Saccharomyces cerevisiae S288C: one gene and its partners. The main gene of each other region encodes a partner of the protein of the gene in region 4 in a complex. Each region holds a gene or a part of one and is shown on either strand. Other genes may lie near its edges. A codon is read from its position in the direction of its gene.

Evidence for each region.
Region 1: the proteins of HHT1 (region 4) and HST2 are in contact, whole or in part, in a crystal structure (PDB 7F4E), measured with the Saccharomyces cerevisiae proteins. Residues at the interface, in NP_009564.1 of Saccharomyces cerevisiae: Thr7 (codon at 1,612), Ala8 (codon at 1,615), Arg9 (codon at 1,618), Lys10 (codon at 1,621), Ser11 (codon at 1,624), Thr12 (codon at 1,627), Gly13 (codon at 1,630), Gly14 (codon at 1,633), Lys15 (codon at 1,636); in NP_015310.1 of Saccharomyces cerevisiae: Phe67 (codon at 3,706), Gln115 (codon at 3,850), Ile117 (codon at 3,856), His135 (codon at 3,910), Ile181 (codon at 4,048), Val182 (codon at 4,051), Phe183 (codon at 4,054), Phe184 (codon at 4,057), Gly185 (codon at 4,060), Glu186 (codon at 4,063), Asp187 (codon at 4,066), Leu188 (codon at 4,069), Ser193 (codon at 4,084), Ala227 (codon at 4,186), Val228 (codon at 4,189), Tyr229 (codon at 4,192), Pro230 (codon at 4,195), Glu236 (codon at 4,213).
Region 2: the proteins of HHT1 (region 4) and SPP1 are in contact, whole or in part, in a crystal structure (PDB 6J2P), measured with the Saccharomyces cerevisiae proteins. Residues at the interface, in NP_009564.1 of Saccharomyces cerevisiae: Ala2 (codon at 1,597), Arg3 (codon at 1,600), Thr4 (codon at 1,603), Lys5 (codon at 1,606), Gln6 (codon at 1,609), Thr7 (codon at 1,612), Ala8 (codon at 1,615); in NP_015187.1 of Saccharomyces cerevisiae: Tyr24 (codon at 3,509), Asp31 (codon at 3,530), Gly33 (codon at 3,536), Glu34 (codon at 3,539), Leu35 (codon at 3,542), Met36 (codon at 3,545), Val37 (codon at 3,548), Gly38 (codon at 3,551), Cys39 (codon at 3,554), Asp40 (codon at 3,557), Asp43 (codon at 3,566), Asp44 (codon at 3,569), Trp45 (codon at 3,572), Phe48 (codon at 3,581), Glu55 (codon at 3,602), Lys58 (codon at 3,611), Val61 (codon at 3,620), Phe62 (codon at 3,623), Ser63 (codon at 3,626), Phe64 (codon at 3,629).
Region 3: the proteins of HHT1 (region 4) and YNG1 are in contact, whole or in part, in an NMR structure (PDB 2JMJ), measured with the Saccharomyces cerevisiae proteins. Residues at the interface, in NP_009564.1 of Saccharomyces cerevisiae: Ala2 (codon at 1,597), Arg3 (codon at 1,600), Thr4 (codon at 1,603), Lys5 (codon at 1,606), Gln6 (codon at 1,609), Thr7 (codon at 1,612), Ala8 (codon at 1,615), Arg9 (codon at 1,618); in NP_014707.1 of Saccharomyces cerevisiae: Tyr157 (codon at 3,924), Ser164 (codon at 3,945), Gly166 (codon at 3,951), Pro167 (codon at 3,954), Met168 (codon at 3,957), Val169 (codon at 3,960), Ala170 (codon at 3,963), Asp172 (codon at 3,969), Glu179 (codon at 3,990), Trp180 (codon at 3,993), Tyr183 (codon at 4,002), Leu188 (codon at 4,017), Lys189 (codon at 4,020), Gln190 (codon at 4,023), Ala191 (codon at 4,026), Gly194 (codon at 4,035), Lys195 (codon at 4,038), Trp196 (codon at 4,041).

What each region holds. Positions count from the first base shown.
Region 1 is NC_001148.4:524,363-530,390, reverse strand, and holds HST2 (histone deacetylase HST2), read left to right. Parts: upstream 1-3,507; coding exon 3,508-4,581; downstream 4,582-6,028. Other genes in the region: mRNA-binding protein RRP12, read right to left, coding at 1-668; mitochondrial 37S ribosomal protein bS16m MRPS16, read left to right, coding at 1,041-1,406; CIP1 (Cip1p), read right to left, coding at 1,699-2,844; SWI1 (Swi1p), read right to left, coding at 5,433-6,028. UniProt on the Saccharomyces cerevisiae protein: NAD-dependent histone deacetylase that is involved in nuclear silencing events. Derepresses subtelomeric silencing and increases repression in nucleolar (rDNA) silencing. Its function is negatively regulated by active nuclear export.
Region 2 is NC_001148.4:289,812-295,866, reverse strand, and holds SPP1 (Spp1p), read left to right. Parts: upstream 1-3,439; coding exon 3,440-4,501; downstream 4,502-6,055. Other genes in the region: protein phosphatase regulator GIP3, read left to right, coding at 1-3,050; UME1 (Ume1p), read left to right, coding at 4,816-6,055. UniProt on the Saccharomyces cerevisiae protein: Component of the Set1C/COMPASS complex that specifically mono-, di- and trimethylates histone H3 to form H3K4me1/2/3, which subsequently plays a role in telomere length maintenance and transcription elongation regulation.
Region 3 is NC_001147.6:444,818-450,193, reverse strand, and holds YNG1 (Yng1p), read left to right. Parts: upstream 1-3,455; coding exon 3,456-4,115; downstream 4,116-5,376. Other genes in the region: MSA1 (Msa1p), read right to left, coding at 1-758; ubiquinol--cytochrome-c reductase catalytic subunit CYT1, read right to left, coding at 1,826-2,755; 60S ribosomal protein uL3 RPL3, read right to left, coding at 4,345-5,376. UniProt on the Saccharomyces cerevisiae protein: Histone-binding component of the NuA3a histone acetyltransferase complex. Targets the NuA3a HAT complex via histone H3K4me3 to facilitate transcription initiation at promoter regions.
Region 4 is NC_001134.8:254,738-259,795, forward strand, and holds HHT1 (histone H3), read left to right. Parts: upstream 1-1,593; coding exon 1,594-2,004; downstream 2,005-5,058. Other genes in the region: HHF1 (histone H4), read right to left, coding at 636-947; inorganic diphosphatase IPP1, read right to left, coding at 2,375-3,238. UniProt on the Saccharomyces cerevisiae protein: Core component of nucleosome. Nucleosomes wrap and compact DNA into chromatin, limiting DNA accessibility to the cellular machineries which require DNA as a template.

The DNA of each region.
Region 1 (6,028 bases), on a different chromosome or scaffold from region 4:
GATAAATTCGAGAGATCATTTAAAATACCTGCTAACTGCTTGTCACAGAAATCTGCTACAAAAACTGCCGCTACATGCTCTGCAGTTGGTGCAACAGGAGGGTTTAATAAGACCGCATGAACTGCATCTAGCGCTCTCTTTCTAACTTTTGGTCTTACATCTAAAGAAAGTTCAAGTATACCCTGCAAACCTCTTTTTGGAGTGACGTTTAGATCATAAGTATTGTTCCAGGCTTGTGCATCTTGAGCAATAAGAAGAGATTCTAAACAACCAATAGCAGCTCTAATTAGAGGGGCATTAGCCTTTTCTGCAGTGATACATGGGGCAATTTTCGTTAGGATTTCAGAAAACTTCGATCTTAATAATACCTTAGGCGAATAATGAAATATCAGATCTAGAAGATATGTAGATGAGGAAGCCAATTGAATATCTTTTATTTCATGAGTAGATGGGTCTACTGCTTGATCCAATAGTGACATAAAGGAAATGATATAATTTACAATGTTTTTTGAAACATCATTTGTAGCTTGACCTGCAATATTTTCCTCAACGGCAGTTAATATTATAGCAATATGCTTTTGATTCTCCAATTTAGAGTTTACTTGGGAACGAATTTTAGCCAGCTTGTCCTCCAGCTCTAAAAGAAAAGCAACTTTGTCTTGATCCATGATGAACTCTGAGATTTGCTGATTCAATTCGCGAGATGCTGTTCAAAATCTAGAAATTACCTGGTTGAATTCAATCAGTAAAAAAATAAGTTGAACCTTTTCAAACTAAAACTCTTCTCTGAGAGAATTAACTGCGACCGAGGAAGTTCTAATTGCGCGATGAGATGAGATGATATAATTAAAATTTTAAACACTGCAGCGAAAAGAAAAATTTTCACTAATTATGATCATCTATCATTCAGGACGGAAAAAATGAAATAGTACACCAAGAACAGTTGTAAGAAAAAAGGAAGGGGAATATATACACGACTTAAGTAACGGAGGAGTTCTGACTGGTATTCCGTTAAGAAATTGTAATAGAGTTTATCAAGTATGACCTGTGGTCTAGTACGAATAAGGTTAGCTAGATTTGGAAGAAAAAATAGTCCGGTCTATAATATCGTAGTGGCTAATTCCCGTAAGGCGAGGGATGCTAAACCGATCGAGGTACTAGGAACCTACGTGCCGGTACCCAGCCCAGTGACCAAGAGAGAATTGAAGAGGGGCGTTGTACCTATTAAAGACGTGAAGCTTGATTTTGATAGAACAAAATATTGGATTGGTGTGGGAGCACAACCTAGCGAAACAGTTACTAAACTATTACGAAAGGCTGGTATATTAAATGATGCATGGGCCACTAGTAAGAACAGCAATGTGAATAGGAAAGTTGTATTTGAAAGAATGGAAACATTGGAGTGAAAAAGATCGGAAAAAAAAAAAAAAAGAAAAAGAAAGGAAAGCAAAGGAACGTGTTTTAATTGATGCGAGGTGTATATGTATATGTTGTATATATGTTTTACTTGGCGCTTTTATATCTATCAGACTTGTAAATAATACATCTATGGCCAACCAGAAAATGGAGAATGAGACTTGAAATGGAATAAATTAAATTCTTAATCGAATGTGAAGAAAAGAGAAAGTGTAATAGAATTTCATTAAGATAGTGTCATTATAGGTCATGTATTGTGTGCTCCTGACTGTTCGGCACTATTTACCTTTTAAGACGCAATAAATCTCTTTTTAGCTTCAATGATTCATTTGGTAAAATAGAGGATTCTTCAGTGGACACGTTTGCTGTAGGTAAACGAGTACTAGCTAAGGGGGACGATATGATATTGCTACGTTGTCTCGATAGCAGAGCTATGTTAAAATTAAATGCGGAATCTGTTGTAGGCGTTGGCGTGAGTAAAGAAAAGGCATTACTGTTGCTAACACTATTGTTAGAATTTGTGCGGGCTAAGATAGGTTGTGGTTGTAATTCTGAAATATACTGGGACGAGCCATTTCTATTCTTCATTGAGACGTTGGATCTTTGTAAGGAATACCAGTTCAACGTGTTGGTCAGGCTGGTAGTAGAGCTTACATTCGGATTCGAGTTTGTGTTTGATAAGGGGATTGGATCGGTAATATCTGCGTTAACAAACGGGGAGGGAACTCTAAGCATTTCAGAAAACTGTGGTGGGGGTGGTGGGGGTAAAGAAGTTAAAGAAGTGTTACGAGAAAGATAGCCGTCTTTTCTGACCTCTTGCAACAAGCGCTGTCTTACCAATGTTAAAAGCCAGCTATTTCTGTCACATCCGATATCCAATTGTTGAAGCTCAGATTGCTGTATAGCCGCTTTGGCAACTCTATTCAATATTCCTGAGGGAGGGTTTGTAGTATCAAACGGAGTTATCGTAGGATCGCTGCACGTGTTTTGGTAAACTTCTAATAGAAGGCCGACAAACTGCGGTGTGAACGAAGTGAATTGAGCGTTATTGTTGTAAAAGGTATGTTGTTTGAAATTCTGAGCGAAATCGGAAACGGAACTCGCCAGCGAAGAGGCGCTATTCTGTCTGGTTCTATTAGCATTGAGGTAAGGTGGAAAATACGAGGCATCCGAGCTTTTCGCCTGATTGGAGCTGCTATTATTTATAGGAGTCATTACCGGAGTGAAAACGGGAGTGGACAAGTTTCTGTCAAATGCAATCATGTCATCGTAATCACAATTTAACAACGGCTGAGGGTCCTGAGTTTGATGTTGAGCTTCTGGTTGGATGGGCAACGCGTCTTCGGGCTTGCAATTCTTGTCCTTATTTTCTTGAGATCGCCTAGAAGAGCCGGCGTGTAATCTCTTGTGCAATCTTTCCAGCAGCATTCTATATCCTATTAAACTGGTTCTAGTTCGCTTTACTAAGAAGGGAATTACAGGTTGAAGCTAGGGGGAGGAAAATACACGCTTCTATAATAGCATTCTTATATATGTTTATCTACAAGGGAAATAGAGCTATACGAAAAAAATAGAAACAGAGACAGCAACAGGAAACAGAAACAGAAACAAAAACAGAACTTTGTTTAAAGTTCGGAGTTCAAGCGTCATTTCTACACTAGTTCTTGATGAGACCTAATGAGTTTGACGTGCCTATCCAGATTGGGTGACGCGTAAAGGAGTATACCTCCTTTTTTCGCTTCACTTGAGCTTAAAATGACCATTTCTATTTCCCAAAGTGGGCATATGTCTTCCCCCTGCGCGAGTTCCGGAGTGGCAAAAAAATGTAGTAAGAAGCCGCCCTTCCCGCGCCGTTTTCCTTACGGAGGCGTCTCCCGCCCTACGCAGAGGCCCCCTGCCTGCGTGCTTTCTGCCGTCCAGCTATGGCCCAGCATTAACTCTGTTAGCTTCGCCGATCTTAAGAATAAGGAATAGACCACATTCTCTGCATGTGTTTCCATCTTTCGTAACTGTCTCTGTATCAGTAAATGTCGCTATCTGTGCCCGTCACTGAGCTACCAACCAGACGTACCGCGATCTCTCCGTGTTTCGATGTCTGTTTCTACCGCCTCTACAGAGATGTCGGTTAGGAAGATCGCTGCTCATATGAAAAGCAACCCCAACGCTAAAGTAATCTTTATGGTGGGTGCCGGGATATCCACTTCTTGTGGGATACCAGACTTCCGATCTCCGGGAACTGGCCTGTACCATAACTTGGCCAGGTTGAAGTTGCCGTACCCTGAAGCAGTGTTCGATGTCGATTTTTTCCAATCGGATCCTTTGCCATTTTACACTTTGGCTAAAGAGTTGTATCCCGGAAATTTCAGACCTTCTAAGTTTCACTATCTTTTGAAATTGTTTCAAGACAAAGACGTTTTGAAGAGAGTATATACCCAGAATATAGACACTTTAGAAAGACAGGCCGGTGTTAAGGATGATCTGATCATCGAGGCCCATGGCAGTTTTGCTCACTGTCATTGTATCGGATGTGGTAAAGTTTATCCCCCACAGGTTTTCAAATCCAAGCTGGCAGAGCATCCTATAAAGGATTTTGTCAAGTGTGATGTGTGCGGTGAACTGGTAAAGCCGGCAATAGTTTTTTTTGGCGAAGATCTACCGGATTCCTTTTCGGAAACTTGGTTAAACGATTCAGAGTGGCTTCGTGAAAAAATCACGACATCTGGAAAACATCCTCAGCAGCCTCTTGTCATCGTCGTTGGCACCTCACTAGCCGTTTATCCCTTTGCGTCTCTGCCCGAAGAAATTCCTCGAAAGGTAAAAAGAGTTCTGTGCAATTTGGAAACGGTGGGCGATTTTAAAGCTAACAAGAGGCCTACAGATTTAATAGTTCATCAGTACTCGGATGAGTTTGCCGAGCAACTCGTTGAAGAATTAGGTTGGCAAGAAGATTTCGAAAAGATACTTACGGCCCAAGGTGGAATGGGGGATAACTCTAAAGAGCAATTACTTGAAATTGTACATGATTTAGAGAATTTGAGTTTGGATCAATCTGAACATGAGAGTGCAGACAAGAAGGATAAGAAGCTACAGCGTCTCAATGGCCATGACAGCGATGAAGATGGAGCAAGCAACTCCTCTTCTTCACAAAAAGCCGCTAAAGAATAATGTGTTGGTTGCAATGTTTTCCGTCCCCCTTTTTTTTTCCTTATTCATCTAGCATGCGCGGCAATTTGATAGTTTAAAAATAAAAGAGACGCGTAATTGAGCTTGGCTTTCCTACGCGTTTGACATTGCATACATATTCTTTCCCCCCACCCCCTTATAGATATCGAAAAATTTGTAAGCTCTGACGTGCAATTCTACTTTAGCCAATTAGGTTTGATAAAAAATACGGCGCCAGCTGACTTTTTTCTCTTTCTGGATAAGTACTCAGAATATATAGATAAGTAGAATGGGTTCCCGAACCGTCAATGCAGCCAATTCATCTCAATACTGCGCCGAACAGCTTCTGAAGCGATCTTGACTTTGTGGGCAGCTTGAAATTTTCTTGGATGATTCTGTCCTATTTGAGCTTTACCTCCTCCCATCGAAAGGGCGAAGTCACACCGTTTTCAAAGGTGGAGTGTTACCCCACCCCCCACGCTGACTCCACATCTGACTCTCTACCGTTTTATTATAGCGAACGTTAACTCTGAATGTATGTGTGGTGTGTATGAATTGTATTTACTGCCTGAAATGGAGTCATAAACTCCTTTATACAATTTCAAGGAATTTTTGTAGCCGCGACGGGACCAGTGGGAAGTTACTAAAACCATTGTTTAGTTGAGCCGCCCAAGATGTGACTTCATGGCAGCTATACGTTCATTTGGGCTTTTGGCACTAAAGGCGCTCTTCCGACTGTATTGTTTCCATAAGGTCTATTATATTAGTTACAACATTTTATATAGGTTTATAAAAAGAAAATAGTGCGCAAGGAAGAAATAAGCAGTAAAAGAATATTGTTTAAAAAAATCGCATCATTCCAAATTGGTTAGGATATCATTTTTTAAATTGTAAAGTAATTGATACTGGTTTATTATTTGAATATCAACTGATGGATTAGTGAATAACTGGAAAATTTCTAAATCCGTGGGGAACAAATTTGGAATCGATGCTATTTTTTTTAATATTTCCGGGTCGTTGTTTAGGCAGTTTTCAAAACAAATACTTTTTTCAACCAAACATTTGATTAACTGAACACAGGATATGTTAATTGACGGTAGGAGCACCTTTGAATAATTTTGTTGCTGTAACAAAGTATTCTTACTTGTGGAATTGTTAATATTCAATATTATCTCACTTAACTTCAATAGTCCAGATCCAATATTTTCTTCAGAGCTCAACCACACAAATGGTAAATTCTTGTTGAAATTGAAGCTAGAATCTTTGTTGCCGTTATTGTTACTGTTACTGTCTGAATTATTCTCACTGATTTCAAATACTTCATTGGATAACGGCAATATTTTTTGTACAATGACTAAGATGCTAGTTAGACTCTGAGAAATTACCGGAGAAAATTGGTCGATCAGCAAACTTGGATCAGCTGATTGCGATAACACTTGCTGCAGCGGTA
Region 2 (6,055 bases), on a different chromosome or scaffold from region 4:
AGCCACAGACACCTATACTCCCCTCCCCTGCACTTGCAGTAAAAGACCTATCTACAGTTTCATTGAAAAGGGTCTCGTTTGCCGTCGATAAATTCGAATCCGATCCTCCCCAACAACTTCCTTCAAGAACCCCAAAAAAGGGAAACATCCTTATCCCTGATGACATGATAAGCGAGGTTCCTTCTATTTCCGTGGGTATTTCCAGTAGCAACCAATCGGCCAAGTCAACCAATTCCAACATTAAGGGACCGTTGTACACTAAGAAGTCTAAAGAATATATACTCGCCCTGGAAAATCAAAAGTTGGCTTTAAGGGAGGCTGCTAAGCATCAGCAAGAAGCTCATTTTGCTGCTAATAGAATAGCCTTTGAAGTAGCCAATTTTAAGACTGCTTCGGATGCAGGCGGTAAGCTTACTGAAAAGTCATCAGAAGGCACCATTACGAAGCAAAGAGAAGAGGTGTCACCTCCAAATGTTGAAGCTGATCGGGAGCTTGAGAATAATAAACTTGCAGAAAACCTCTCAAAAGCCGGCATTGATAAGCCCATTCATATGCATGAGCACTATTTCAAGGAACCTGATCAAGATAAGTACCAAGACGGTCATTCTATTGAAAATAACGAAGTTACGCTGGATGTTATTTACACAAGATGCTGCCATTTAAGGGAAATTTTACCCATTCCGTCTACCCTAAGACAAGTAAAGGACAAGACAGCTCCCTTGCAAATATTGAAGTTTTTGAACCCTAAGCCTACCTTGATCGATATTCTTTCCTTTTGTGATTTCATCACCATTGCTCCCATTCACACGATTGTTTTCGACAATGTAGCTTTAAACCAGGATATGTTCAGAATAATTATTTCTGCTTTGGTAAACTCCACAGTTTTGGACAAATTGAGTTTAAGAAATGTACGAATCGACCAAGATGGATGGAAATTACTATGTAAGTTCCTTTTGCTAAACAAATCACTGAACAAGCTCGACATTTCCCAAACGAAAATCAAATCTGACCTTGCTGAATCACTATATCGCCATAACATGGATTGGAACTTGTTTACTGACGTCTTGTCTCAGAGATCTCACAAACCTATAGAAGAATTGTTATTCAATGGTATTCAATTTAGCAAAATTCCTTACTCATGCTTTGCACGTTTACTGACATCCTTTGCTACCCAAAAAAACTTTCCAGAATCGGGCATCAGGCTTGGTTTAGCAGGTGCCACTACTTCCAATATCTCTCAGGATTGTCTGAAATTTATCTTCAATTGGATGTCTCAATATAACGTCCAGGGTGTGGATCTAGCGTTTAATGATCTGTCCACTATGATTAAGCCAATGGTTGGTAAACTATCTGCTCTATCATATGATAACTTAAGATATTTCATTTTGAACAGCACTAATATTTCGACTTCTTATGATTTAGCTTTGCTCTTGAAATATCTTTCTAAGTTGCCTAACTTGATTTTTTTGGATTTGAGTAATTTGTCGCAATGCTTTCCTGACATTTTACCCTACATGTACAAGTATTTACCAAGATTTCCGAACCTGAAGAGGATACATTTGGATAGCAATAATTTGACATTAAAGGAACTAGCTGTCGTTTGTAATATTTTGATTAAGTGCAAATCGCTCTCGCATGTGTCAATGACTAATCAAAACGTTGAAAACTTCTATCTAATGAACGGCACAGATTCTCCCGTTCAACAAACTAACACAGACGGCGACTTGGATAGTTCGAGCACATTGGACGTTAAGGGCCAATTTGCTAAAAATAGTTTTTCATCCACACTTTACGCATTTGCTAGAGACTCTCCAAACTTGATTGGTTTAGATTTTGACTATGATTTGATATCAGAAGAGATTCAATCAAGAATAGCACTGTGCTTGATGAGAAATATGAAACGGACCATGGATTCGACTTTCCAGTTAGATGAATTGGATTCGCAAGATGATTTGCTATTCGATGGCTCTTTAGTAACTATGACCGCTGAAAGTGTTTTAGAAAAACTGAACTTGTTAAGCGATAAGAGTACAAAGGTCAAAAAAGACACCACGAAGAGATATTTGCTGAAAAAATATATTGAAAAGTTCCATATCTTGCACCATAATGTTCAGCATACAATAGATACTATGTTCGAAAAAAGGAAATCAGGTGAATTGCCATTGCAAGAAAAAGAAAACCTTGTAAGATTACTCCTTTTGGAACAAAACTTATGCAATATACTAGAATTGTTTTCGCATAATCCGAATCTGAATGATGTCCTTGGATCCAGCAGGGATGATTCGAAGGAAAGTGTTGACTCCAGCGAAGATTCAAAATTACCAGCATTGAAGCACGTTGAATCCGGATACCATGTTCCCGAAGAAAAAATACAACCTGAGAATGATGTAATTACAGCAAGACCACATTTAATGGCCACCGATTCTGGTAAAACTATTGACGTTTTCACAGGCAAACCATTGGTGTTCAAGCATACATCATCTAGTACTTCTGTAGGTTGTAAAAAGCAGGAAGAAGAAGAAGGTGAACTACATAAATGGGGTTTCTTCGTTCAGCAGCAGAGGTCTTTATACCCTGAAAATGAATCAACAAGGCAGACACCTTTTGCATCAGGTGATACGCCTATCAACACAGAAACAGCTGGTAAGTCAACTTCATCTCCTTCAGTTTCAACTTCTAACAATGAAACTGCTACCACTAGTTTATTTAGCCCAGCTAATCCTAAGATTTTACCAAAAATTCCATCCGGTGCTGTCTTAAGATCGGCAATCATGAAGGCTAAAGGTATTGATTCTATCGATGATTTGATTCAGAACGTTAACTCCAACAACATAGAATTGGAGAACATTTATGGTGAATCCATTCAGAATAGCGCTTCGACATTTACACCAGGCGTGGATTCTGATGTATCTGCGCCCAATACCGATAAAGGATCCGTAGAAACATTGCCTGCAGTCTCAACTGACGACCCAAATTGTGAAGTCAAAGTCACTGCTACCTATGACAAACTATTAAATAATTTGTCGATGGAGAGGTCAATCAGACTTTGAAGATACATGAATCCTTCTCTTCACTGATGGATCCATTTTCTTCTTCCTTTTTTTCACTGCATAAAACTTTTTTTATCAACCTTTCATATTTTCCATATTTATTTATATATACCGCCAGTAAATTTGGCGATATTCGATAGACTTAACAGATAAACTTTTTAAGATGAATTAAAGCACAGAGGATTAAGCTTACCTCTTTAGAATCAATTGATATGTTCGGCTACATATTAGACACTGCATATAACCCAAGGCGGGTAAAATATGAACAATTTCAATTGGGCTTTGTAAATGCTTACTTTTAAATGTAAACGAAGCTCATCAGAAGAAAAAAAACAAGAGATTTGGAAAAGGCTACTTCGACCTCAATAATTTCTCAGCCTATCTTTCTAATGTCATTACCACAATGGTGTCCACCGCATTCCACCTTAAAAAGAAATCCAACTACAGGAGAGGACGTATACTGCATATGTAAAAGGCCAGACTATGGGGAGCTGATGGTGGGATGTGATGGTTGTGATGACTGGTTTCATTTCACCTGCCTTCATATTCCTGAGCAGTTTAAGGACCTGGTGTTCTCTTTTTATTGTCCTTACTGTCAAGCGGGGATTACTGGTAAGAATAAGGACGCCATAATCAATGGTGAAGGGAGCTTGCCAAAAACCTTATGGAAAAGAAAATGTAGGATAAGTGATTGCTACAAACCATGTTTACAGGATAGTAAATACTGTTCTGAGGAACATGGTAGAGAATTTGTGAATGATATTTGGTCGCGATTGAAAACAGATGAGGATAGAGCAGTCGTCAAGAAAATGGTCGAACAAACAGGACACATAGATAAATTCAAGAAATTTGGACAACTGGATTTCATTGATAACAATATAGTTGTAAAAACAGATGACGAAAAGGAAATATTCGATCAAATTGTTGTACGAGACATGACGTTAAAAACTCTTGAAGATGATCTGCAAGAGGTTCAAGAGATATCGCTACCATTATTCAAAAAAAAGCTAGAACTTTTGGAAGTATATTTGGGATGGTTAGACAACGTATATACCGAAATGCGCAAGCTGGACGATGATGCTGCAAGCCATGTGGAATGTGGTAAAGAAGATTCCAAGGGGACAAAAAGGAAGAAGAAGAAAAATAGCAGCAGGAGTAGGGCTAGGAAAAATATATGTGGCTATTGTTCTACATACGAGCGAATACCCTGCTCTGTGGAAGAATTTGTCAGAGATTTTGGAAGTAATGAGGAAGCCACCAAAATACATGAGGTATGCACGAAGTGGAAGTGTAACAGACATTTGGATTGGGTGTCTACTAATCAGGAACAATACCTCCAGCAGATTGACTCTTTAGAATCTATGCAAGAAAGGTTGCAACATCTGATACAGGCCAGGAAAAAGCAACTAAATATACAATACTATGAGGAAATTTTAAGAAGAGGTTTGTAACGGCGTTGGAGCCTAATCAAATATCAGTTTCTACATATATATATACTTCGTAGTGATGATATATCAATTGGAGCGTCCTTGCATAGGCAACGCCTATTTGGATAGTCTTCAATTTCGACCCCATTTCACGTGAATAAAGCGGAGCTATCTCTGTTTTGCAAGGGTTCGGCCGATTTTGCTGCGAAATTTTAATAAGCGCATATTGATTTTTTCAAGCAATACTTTGTATATTCATGATCGAATGAATGAAAAAGCACCACTCCTCAGCCGCATACCTTCAGTATCGTATTTATTTCCTTCTTTAATCACTTAAAATGAGCACTTTAGATATTGCAGAAGACAACAAAATAAAAAATGAAGAATTCAAAATTTGGAAAAAATCAATACCCTCATTATACCAACATATTTCAAGTTTGAAGCCTATCTTTGGCTCAGGCGTTGACGAATCTCCATCGACACTTAGGAGTATAGTTTTCACTAACGATAGCTCATGTAATAAATCCAAAGGTGTTTTGAGCGTACCACTTTTATATTCTCAAGGGAGTGAAATCTTTGAGGTGGATTGTATAGTGCCACTCGGACTTCATTACAAAAAACCTGAAAGCATTTCAGAACCGTTAGTACAACCGGATTATACCATGGAATCTCAAAAGGTGGAGCAGACTGTTTTGATTCCAAAATGGGAATTTAAAGGTGAAACGATTGCAAAGATGATTTACGTGGATAACAGCGAAATAAATGTAAAGGTGATAGCCCTTTCTACCAATGGTTCTTTGGCATGGTTCAGAGAAGGTGTCAAATCGCCCGTTTACACAATGATGGAGCCATCCACTTCTCTAAGTTCAGCATCGTCCGGAAATCAAAATAAACCCTGTGTTGATTTTGCAATTTCTAACGATTCAAAAACCTTAACAGTAACTAAGGAAAAACATCTTGATAATGAAAACGCTACAATAAAATTGATAGACAACTCAGGTAAAATAGGAGAAGTGCTTCGTACAATACCTGTTCCTGGCATAAAGAATATTCAAGAAATCAAGTTTTTGAATAATCAAATATTCGCCACTTGTTCTGATGACGGTATCATAAGGTTTTGGGGTAATGAGATAGGCAAAAAGCCCCTTTGGATTCTAAACGATTCTTTGGACGGCAAAACAACTTGTTTTGCTGCATCACCGTTTGTTGATACATTATTTATGACGGGAACTAGTGGTGGGGCTCTCAAGGTTTGGGATATACGTGCAGTTATCGCTTTAGGGGATGCTGATGCTGAGTTAAATATCAACCAAGGACATAATAAAGTCAATGAACTATTCAAAGTTCATCACTTTTATAGCGAGCAAGTGTCCAAAATAGAGTTTTCTTCCATTTCGCCTATGGAAGTGGTTACAATTGGAGGGTTAGGTAATGTTTACCACTGGAATTTCGAACCTGTTTTTGCCATTTATAACGAGATACATGAGGACTTTCAAGGCATAATATCTGACGAATTGGAGGCCGAAAGCATGGCATTTTATCACACTGAGGGCTGCAGAAGAGAAATAGGAGAAAATA
Region 3 (5,376 bases), on a different chromosome or scaffold from region 4:
CCTATTGGAGAAGCTGAAGTTTCTATGATAGTCGGCAATTCTGTGTCGATGATGTCAGATCTGCTTGGTTTCGCTGGAGGTGCTTCGGGGAGCGTATCAGTATCACAATATTTCTCATTCTTCATCTGTTTTAAGAGAGAAAGAATACGTCTCTTCTCAAACTTGGGTGCATTTTTCTTGCTTCCTTTGTGAATTTTTTCATTTTGCATGATCTTTTTATTATTATTGTTCATTAAATGAGACGATTTTGACGATGGAGAGAAAGGCAAAGATCCTGCAATAACGGCCTTCCCACTTTCGGTAATGGTTAAAGAAAGTTTGAATTGTTCCTGTGAAGGAAACATGTAGTCATTTTTCTTTTGGAAAGCTGGAGAAGACGTCATGATAGGCGGCGAACTCTGAAGAAAGGTTTTCCTTGTTTCAGAAAACACCGTGTTATTATAGCTGTCATTCGAAGACGGGGTAGAGATCGGCGTAGAGCCATTAGTGCTCGATTTCTTGGTGGGAGTAGAAAGAAGAACGCCCCTGTATCTGCCCTTTCTCGTAGTTGCCGCCAAATTATGATGATGATCGATGCTGAGTCTTCTTTTATTCGGGGATGGACTAGATTGCCCCACTTTCATCAAAGGTTTGGCAAAACTGTGAGGCCCCTGCTTCTGAACCTGCATTGAAGAATGCGCCATGGGGCTTTGTAGGGGATTGGGATAATCTTTGGTGATGGGAGGCCTGCCTCTTTTTTTGATCATGCTTTTATCCATAGTGAATATTTTTCACGAAGTATTCTTGAGATATTTTTATTCCCCTTTTCAACTACACAACCCAGGTTGGTGAATATATACTTAATCAAATCCCTTTAATCACCTTGGAATGTGCAACCAGCTCTTCTTCTCAAAATTTAAAAAAACTTCCGAGAATGAAAAATGAACTAACGAAAAATTTTCAAGACCGTCTTAAAGATCCCTTATCGGTGCTGCAAAGGGGAAGCAGTTATTAAGAGAATTATTAGTATTTGCTGGCTGTGCCTTGATTGTATTAATTGATGGAACAGCGAGAGAAATTTTAGAGGTATGAAACCAGACAATAGAACGGGACTAATATGGAAAAAAACCGATTTGAGGGATTTCCTATTAGGGAAAAATAAGTGTTTGCCTCTTTAAGGAAAAAATACTAGCGCGTTACGCGGCGACTTCAAAGATCGACCATAACGGTCTCGCTCGCATCCTCAACGATTGTGTCATATTATTAATGGAACGAAAGAGAAGGTGGATGGCCAAAGCCTTGGAACAGTGGTAGATTTACACTAAGTTTACTTTCTTAATAGATAATAGGAATATATATGTACATATATAAATAAAAAATAAATAAAATAAATATTATAGAAGAACACCAAGACGCCGGTGTTGGGCATCCAAACAAAATATTGTAAAGTTTCTTTCTTGCAATCTTCTACCTTTATTTTTATTTTTTATTGCTGTTAGGTTGTTAACATTTAAACATCTTTTTTTTTTTTTTTTTTTTTTTTTATATTATTATTCGTGATATTTCGCTTGCAGCAGTATCTCAGTACATGAAGGAGACACTATTGAAGTGAGACGTTGTTTACAAGCAGTGAAAAAATAAATAGGGTGGCCGAAAAAAAAGAAACGAAACCAGAGAAATAAAAAGGAAAAGTAGGTAAATTTTTGTTACCTTTCACTCTCTTTCTGAAAACAATTCAGTATGCTCTACTAATATTCTTTTTTTTCATTTCTTTTATTATGTTTTTTGTTTATTGGTTTTTTTTTTTCCGTAATTTAAATAATAGTGGTTTTCATTTTTTTGTCAACTACTTTCTTGGTTTTGGTGGATTGAAAACGAATTTTCTGGTTTTGATACCGGCCCATTTGAACTTCTTCACCCAGATAGATAGCAAATACAAAGATGATAAGATTATCACCGTTTTCAAACCCAATCTCTTTCTTTCGTCATGTTCAGGTTCGGCACACCAGTTTAAAAAGGTGGTAACGTCCTTTGCCATTTGAGATGTCGTTGCGGGGGTACCATCTTCGTACTCAACCATGTCATCAAACAAGACTCTTGCCATTGCAATGGAACCACCTGGGAAGTAAGGGTTATAATTAGAACCTGGTGGTAAAGCCACACCAGCAGGAGGTTCATCAGGATAACCGGTCAACAAAGAGAAAATGTAGTCACAACCACCGTGTCTAGCTTTCACGATCAAAGATAGATCAGGTGGCAAGGCACCTTGATTGGCAGCTCTTGCAGCCTGTTCGTTTGGGTATGGGCCAGGGATGTAATCGGACAACTTACCTGGTCTCTTTTTAGGGTTACCTTGTTCATCAGGTTCGTCATCGTATTCAAATTCTTCGGCCATATTACGAACCTCTTCGTTGGTATGAGAAACACCAACCAAAGTTCTCCAAGCAACTCTGTCAAGAGAATGGCAGGCGGCACAAACTTCACGGTAAACCTGGTAACCTCTTCTAATGGATGCATGATCAAATGTTTCAAAAGGCCCATTGTGGGACCAAGCATATGCTGGGGCGTGCAATCCGTGTTCAGCTGCGGTCATAGCTTCGGCAGTTAAGGAGTCTGCATAGAGTAAAGTCGATGCGGTGATACCGGCGGCAGCAACACCCGCTGTAACGAGCTTTTGAGTAAGCTTGCCAGATTTACTAGCAGCACCTGTTGCGGTAGAGTAGAAACTTTTCGAGAGGGTCCTTTGAGCCCAACGTTTAGATAGATTTGAAAACATTGTCAAATTAGTTATAACTTCCGCTTCTGAGAAAAAATAGTAGATGATATAGTGTAATGAAAATGCAAATTGTAAAATATTATTTTTCAGAACTAGTTCAAACTAATCAATTGAAGATATCACAAATGTGGGGAAATTCAATGAATGCTTTTTATCAAACTGGGGGAGTACTGGAAAAAATATTTAAGAAAAATAGTGTTACACTAATATAGAATATGGATTCTTTTTCTTTTTCTTTCTTGTCCTTAATATTTGAAGATAAAGTACAAAAATGTATAAAATGTTGCTTAACAAAGAAAGATTGTGAAACCGATGATTAATAAGAAAACGAATGGCCTCTACTAAAAGCTTAGATAGTCTATGGATCCAGTTGGACGTCTAACCTCGTTATTATTCAAATTGTTTATATACTAGAAAGAGCCCCCTTAGTATCTACGCAGGGTAAAGGCGCTCGACCCTCTCCACCAACCAAATCCTCGCATTTTTTGGCCGCCGGAAATACCGGCCGCCCATTACCAAGAAATCCGAGAAAAAAAAAATCTTCAGTCACGTGGCGCTCCGTCTTATTTCCGTCCTTATACAAACATTTGGGATTGGCTCACAGAACATCACAACAGCATCTGTGAAAGTCTTAATAGAACTGAAATGTATGATGCGCTAGCACATCCGCTTTACAAGGAAGTTTTTTTCGTCTACAGCAATGGAACATCTCGCCAACGAAAACTCGGATTCGGATATCAGGTACAGTTTCCTTAGCACTTTGGATCATTTACCATGTGAACTAATAAGATCTCTTCGACTGATGCAAACAATCGACTTATTCAAGAATGAAGAGGATGAGCCTGGTATGGAAAGGGCCTGTAGGGATCTGTTGCTGGTAGCGACTTATATTAATGATCTGGTCGATGATCAGATTCATTTCTTAAAGCAGCATAAGAAGGAACTAGAGATACAGAAGTCAGTGACAAAAAATTTCAACTCTTCGCTAGAGAATATCAAGTCGAAGTTGACGTTAGAAGAACCAGGAGCATATAAGGAGCCAAAACTGCTTTTAAAGATTAACTTGAAAAAGGCTAAATCGAGGGAAAGAAAAGAGAGCATAACTAGCCCCACAATTGGGATTAACCAGGGTGATGTAACAGAGGGTAATAATAATCAAGAGGAGGTTTATTGTTTCTGTAGGAATGTATCTTATGGGCCAATGGTGGCTTGTGATAATCCGGCTTGTCCCTTCGAGTGGTTCCATTATGGTTGCGTAGGCCTGAAACAAGCTCCCAAGGGCAAATGGTATTGTAGCAAAGATTGTAAGGAAATAGCAAACCAGAGGTCCAAGTCAAAACGGCAAAAAAGAAGAAAGTAAGCAATATAATGGACGGGTTTACATGTTTAAATATATGTACATGTATGTAGTCTTATACTTTCAAAACATAATCGCATGCGGGTCATCAAAATAAACCTCCATTTTGGACTTGGGAAAAAGAAAATTTGATTTAAACTGTTGTATGTAGCTAACAATACATAAAACTATTTAAATAAAATAGGAATAAGAATGCTCAATTAAAAAATGATTTATTTTCTAACAAAACTTCTTACAAGTCCTTCTTCAAAGTACCCATGAAAGCATGCTTTTCAGCTGGGGTTTGGAATCTACCCTTACCGAACTTAGAAGCAGTGTCAATCCACTTCAAGCTGACTTCTTCCAAAGCCTTTCTAGAAGTGTTGGTGTACAAAGACTTTCTCAAAGTAACAATTCTCTTTCTGTTACCTGGGATACAACCTTTAACCATGATGAAGTCGTTCTTAATTTCACCGTAGTGGACGAAACCACCCATTGGGGTAATAGTCTTCTTGGTTCTGTCGAAGCTGGTAGCACCGTTAGCTTCATCATCACCCTTACCGACTCTGTAAATCTTGTGGTTAATGGAGGTTCTGGAATGGTAACCTCTTTGACCAGCTCTGGCAACACTCCACATAACGTGGGCTGGATGCCAAGCACCAATACAAGCAACCTTTCTTAGACCTCTGTGAGTCTTTCTTGGCAATTTCTTAGTACCCCATCTGTGGGTAACACCTTCGAAACCGTGACCCTTGGTGACAGCAATAGCGTCAATCATTTCGTTTTGTTCAAAAACGCTGTCGACAGCAACAGTCTTTTCGAAATGTTCACGAGCCCAGTCAACCTTTTCAGAGATGGAACCACCGTTCAATTGGATTTCAGCCAAATGAGCCTTCTTTTGAGCCAATGGAGTCTTTCTGATTTGAGTGTGGACCAAAACTCTGACGACGGAAGCGTACTTCTTGATTCTAGCCAATTCTCTTTCAATACCAGCACCATCTTGAGCGTACTTGGCAGAGTATTTGGTGAAAGCCTTCTTCTTAGACTTGTACCAGTTCTTGTAGAATCTTCTCTTGACTTCGTCAGACAAATGTTCAGCCCAGACGGTGGTCAAAGATCTCAAACCTCTTGGGGTTTCGACGTAACCGACAACACCAACAACGACAACTGGTGGAGTGTCAACAACGGTGACAGCTTCGACAACTTCACGCTTGTGGAACTTAGAACCTGGTCTGTCCAAATCTCTGACAATGGTGGTCATACCAGCCTTGTAACCCAAGAAGGA
Region 4 (5,058 bases):
TGGGCTTACAATTGCCGGCCATCAGTATATGGAGTATCAATGTTCCTTTTGATCGCCAACAAATACTACCTTTTATCCTGCTCTTCCTGCTCTCAGATATTAATGCCGAATTGTTTCATCTTGTCTGTGTAGAAGACCACACACGAAAATCCTGTGATTTTTCATTTTACTTATCATTAATCGAATGTATATCTATTTAATCTGCTTTTCTTGTCTAATAAATATATATGTAAAGTACGCTTTTTGTTGAAATTTTTTAAACCTTTGTTTATTTTTTTTTCTTCATTCCGTAACTCTTCTACCTTCTTTATTTACTTTCTAAAATCCAAATACAAAACATAAAAATAAATAAACACAGAGTAAATTCCCAAATTATTCCATCATTAAAAAATACGAGGCGCGTGTAAGTTACAGACAAGCGATCCCTATTCCATGCAAGTTCGGTAAGTAGCAGAAATAATCAAACTGTTTAAACCCAATTAAAATTAAATTAAATACCCTTTATATGTTTATAATTGTACATATTTCTCCTAAACCCGCTATAATACACTCATATTTGTAGAAGAAAAACCGGGCAGTTGAATACGAATCCCAAATATTTGCTTGTTGTTACCGTTTTCTTAGAATTAGCTAAATTAACCACCGAAACCGTATAAGGTTCTACCTTGTCTCTTCAAAGCATAAACAACATCCAAAGAAGTAACAGTCTTTCTCTTGGCGTGTTCGGTGTAGGTAACAGAGTCTCTGATGACGGATTCCAAGAAGGATTTCAAGACAGCTCTGACTTCTTCGTAGATCAAACCAGAAATACGCTTGACACCACCTCTTCTAGCTAATCTTCTGATAGCTGGCTTAGTAATACCTTGGATGTTATCTCTTAGAATCTTTCTGTGACGCTTGGCACCACCTTTACCTAGACCTTTACCACCTTTACCTCTACCGGACATATTTTACTATATTATATTTGTTGCTTGTTTTTGTTTGTTGCTTTAGTACTATAGAGTACAATAATGCGACGGAAACCATCATATAGAAAAAATATCTCGGTATTTATAGGAAAAAGAATTAGACCTTTTCCACAACCAATTTATCCATCAAATTGGTCTTTACCCAATGAATGGGGAAGGGGGGGTGGCAATTTACCACCGTATTCGCGGGCATTTGCTAAAGTAAACAACTTCGGTTTTTACCACTAACCATTATGGGGAGAAGCGCTCGGAACAGTTTTACTATGTGAAGATGCGAAGTTTTCAGAACGCGGTTTCCAAATTCGGCGGGGAGATACAAAAAAGATTTTTGCTCTCGTTCTCACATTTTCGCATTGTCCCATACATTATCGTTCTCACAATTTCTCACATTTCCTTGCTCTGCACCTTTGCGATCCTGGCCGTAATATCTCTCCTTGACTTTTAGCGTGGAAGATAACGAAATGCCCGGGCGATTTTTCTTTTTGGTACCCTCCACGGCTCCTTGTTGAAATACATATATAAAAGACTGTGTATTCTTCGGGATACATCTCTTTCCTCAACCTTTTATATTCTTTCTTTCTAGTTAATAAGAAAAACATCTAACATAAATATATAAACGCAAACAATGGCCAGAACAAAGCAAACAGCAAGAAAGTCCACTGGTGGTAAGGCCCCAAGAAAGCAATTAGCTTCTAAGGCTGCCAGAAAATCCGCCCCATCTACCGGTGGTGTTAAGAAGCCTCACAGATATAAGCCAGGTACTGTTGCTTTGAGAGAAATCAGAAGATTCCAAAAATCTACTGAACTGTTGATCAGAAAGTTGCCTTTCCAAAGATTGGTCAGAGAAATCGCTCAAGATTTCAAGACCGACTTGAGATTTCAATCTTCTGCCATCGGTGCCTTGCAAGAATCTGTCGAAGCCTACTTAGTCTCTTTATTTGAAGATACCAACTTGGCTGCCATTCACGCCAAGCGTGTCACTATCCAAAAGAAGGATATCAAGTTGGCTAGAAGATTAAGAGGTGAAAGATCATAGTTTGTTGATTGTCATCAGTTTTAGTAAAAAACGAACAAAAACACAATAAAATATAAATCAATATATTTAGGTTTACTGGGTTCTTTAACAGTTGTATAATAGTTATTTTTTATTACAAAAATATAGGTTTTAATAAAAAAAAATAGGGTTCTATTTGTTTTACATTTATTGATTTGTTTTTCCTGGCGATACCCTCGAAAAAAGCCAGGCCTTGTAGGAGGCAAGATTTATGGCTTTCCATGTGGTTAAAGAAAAATTGCAGCAGGAAGATATTCATTCATGAGTCAGTTATATAATCGATATATAGCTACATATTAAACAACTTGAAGCCGCATACGTGGTAGGTGTCTCATTTTCAATTCAAAATATTTTAAACAGAACCGGAGATGAAGAACCACTTGTCAATAGACTTGTCAATTGGAGCATCTGCCTTTGGAGAAGCTGGTGGGATGGCATCAGAGGCAGCCTTGGAGTAGGTTGGGGTGTCAGGCAAAGTAACATTGGTCAAATCAATACCCTTGCTGTCAGAAGACTTACCAGCAATTAATTGTTTCCAGGAGTCATGTGTTTCCTTGATGATATCCAAAGCGTACTTCTTGTTCTTAGCTTCACCGGAGAAGGCAAATTGGTTTTCTGGCTTACCATCTGGGATTTTGTAAATTCTGAACCATTCGTTAGTAGCCCTCAACAGACCTGGGAAGTATTTCTCAACATCCTCAATGTCGTTCAATTTTGGGGCTAATGGATCGTTAATATCAATGGCAATAACTTTCCAATCGGTCTCACCTTCATCCAATAAAGCCATGATACCTAGAGCCTTAACTTGCTTGACTTGACCAGTGTAAGCAATAGTTTCACCAATTTCCAACACATCAATTGGATCGTTGTCACCAACTGCCTTAGTTTCTGGGTGGCTTACGTTTGGGTCTTCCCAAGTTTGTGGGAAAGCACCATAGTTGTGAATGTAACCATGGTGAGGGAAACAGTTTCTAACAAATCTCAACTTGCCCTTCTTGGTGTCTTGGATGATTGGGTTCAAAGTTTCTTCCTTGGTGATTTCTAACTTGGCGTTGGTCCAACGTGGAATTTCAACAACCATGTTGAAAATGTTGTTTTCCTTGTCAGCGTACAAGGGAATGTCGTGGAAGGCAGAAACTGGCTTACCATCCTTTTCGATATAAACTTTGTATTCCAAGGTGTTCTTGGCACCAATTTGTCTGGTAGTGTAGGTCATTAGTAAATTGCGCGGCGGGATATCCTGTTCTATAGACCTAAGGGACAACAAATCAAAATAGATGATTAAGAAAGTAAGTATTCAAAAACAAGTTGTAAATGAACTAACCTTCCTAACTTCGACGCGACCTTAAAACGTCGAAAAAAAACGAGAAAAAGTCATCATGAGACTATCGTATCTAATGACTGTGGCTTCTCCCAACAACCTTAGCGTCTGCGATGACGATATTTTGAAGAACAGTCAAATCCGTTTGAATAGTGCGCCACACAGGGATAATAATAGCACATTGGCATCTCCTTCTGTGAATGAAACACTTCTACCTGGGCTTCAAAGTCCCGCAACCTTTTAGTTACATAAAATTCGGCGGCTAAATCATGATATTATATTGATGGGTAATGTAGCGTTCAGTAAAACGGTTCCTATGTATTACTATCACGTGGGTGGGGAAGACCACATTCTTAGAGAAGAGTAATCATTTTAGCAGATTATTTTTACCTTTTTCAACTCATGAACTCATGTTCAAAGGTACAATATATTACCCTTTCTTCAAAGTATCCGAATGATTTGAACCGCACTCTGAGGGAGCCATCAAATTCTATTGAGCGACTTCGAATCGAACAATCCAATTAAATCAGCCTTTAGCGCCATATTTCTCCTTGTATCCATTGTTTACTTCTCCCTTGTATCTTGTATATGAGAATTATGGGAATAAGATAATTGTTGGGATTCCATTGTTTTCAAAGGCTGTAATATTAGGTACACAGATTATACTAGAAGTTCTTTTCGAGGATATAGGAATCCACAAAAGGAAATCGATAGTTATACATAATAATATTATTGTATCTTACTTCCTTTTATATGTTGTCACTCATTATTGTGTCGTGCATTCCATTAGATTGGATGACTGTTTCTCAATCTTTATGCCATCCTCTTACACCGCATGTGATATAATAGTAACATGAGTGCTGCGAAATAGATGATATTAAAATTTCATTCCAACAAAGTTCCATATATATCCATATATATATATATATTTCACGAGGATAATGAGTTAAAATACTATGTAAAGGTATTGTGGTTCATTTTTCTTTTATCAATTTTTATCCAAGTTTTTCTGATCTATAACATGTCCAATACACTTTTTCGAACTATAACCGCCAACAAATTTATCTTATAGACGAGAAACACTTTTATGATATCGATGTTCTACACCTACTGCCGATAACACCGTGTTTTCACTATTATAGCATATACCATTTTTGTAACCAATGTGTTGTTGTAATTCTCCGCAAGGCATATCCCAGATATTCTTATATGGCCCATTTCCACTTCGTTGAAGCCTCACATCAAAAGAGCAATCTTGAGATAATTTCAAAACCACACACATCGCTGCAGTTTCATAATATCTGTCATCACTGATGCAATAATTAAGTGACGAAATTATATCATTATTAACAGCTGTATTATTATTATAATCAAGACAAGCTGAATTTGATGCAAATATATATTCCCATTCAGTGCCGTTTCTTTCGAATTTATAGAAATCACTTCTTTGTAGGTAATTGTTCTGGCTTACTTTGAGCTTATTCATGTTAAAGTAATTGTTGGAATAAAAATCCACTATCGTCTATCAACTAATAGTTATATTATCAATATATTATCATATACGGTGTTAAGATGATGACATAAGTTATGAGAAGCTGTCATCGAAGTTAGAGGAAGCTGAAGTGCAAGGATTGATAATGTAATAGGATAATGAAACATATAAAACGGAATGAGGAATAATCGCAATATTAGTATGTAGAAATATAGATTCCATT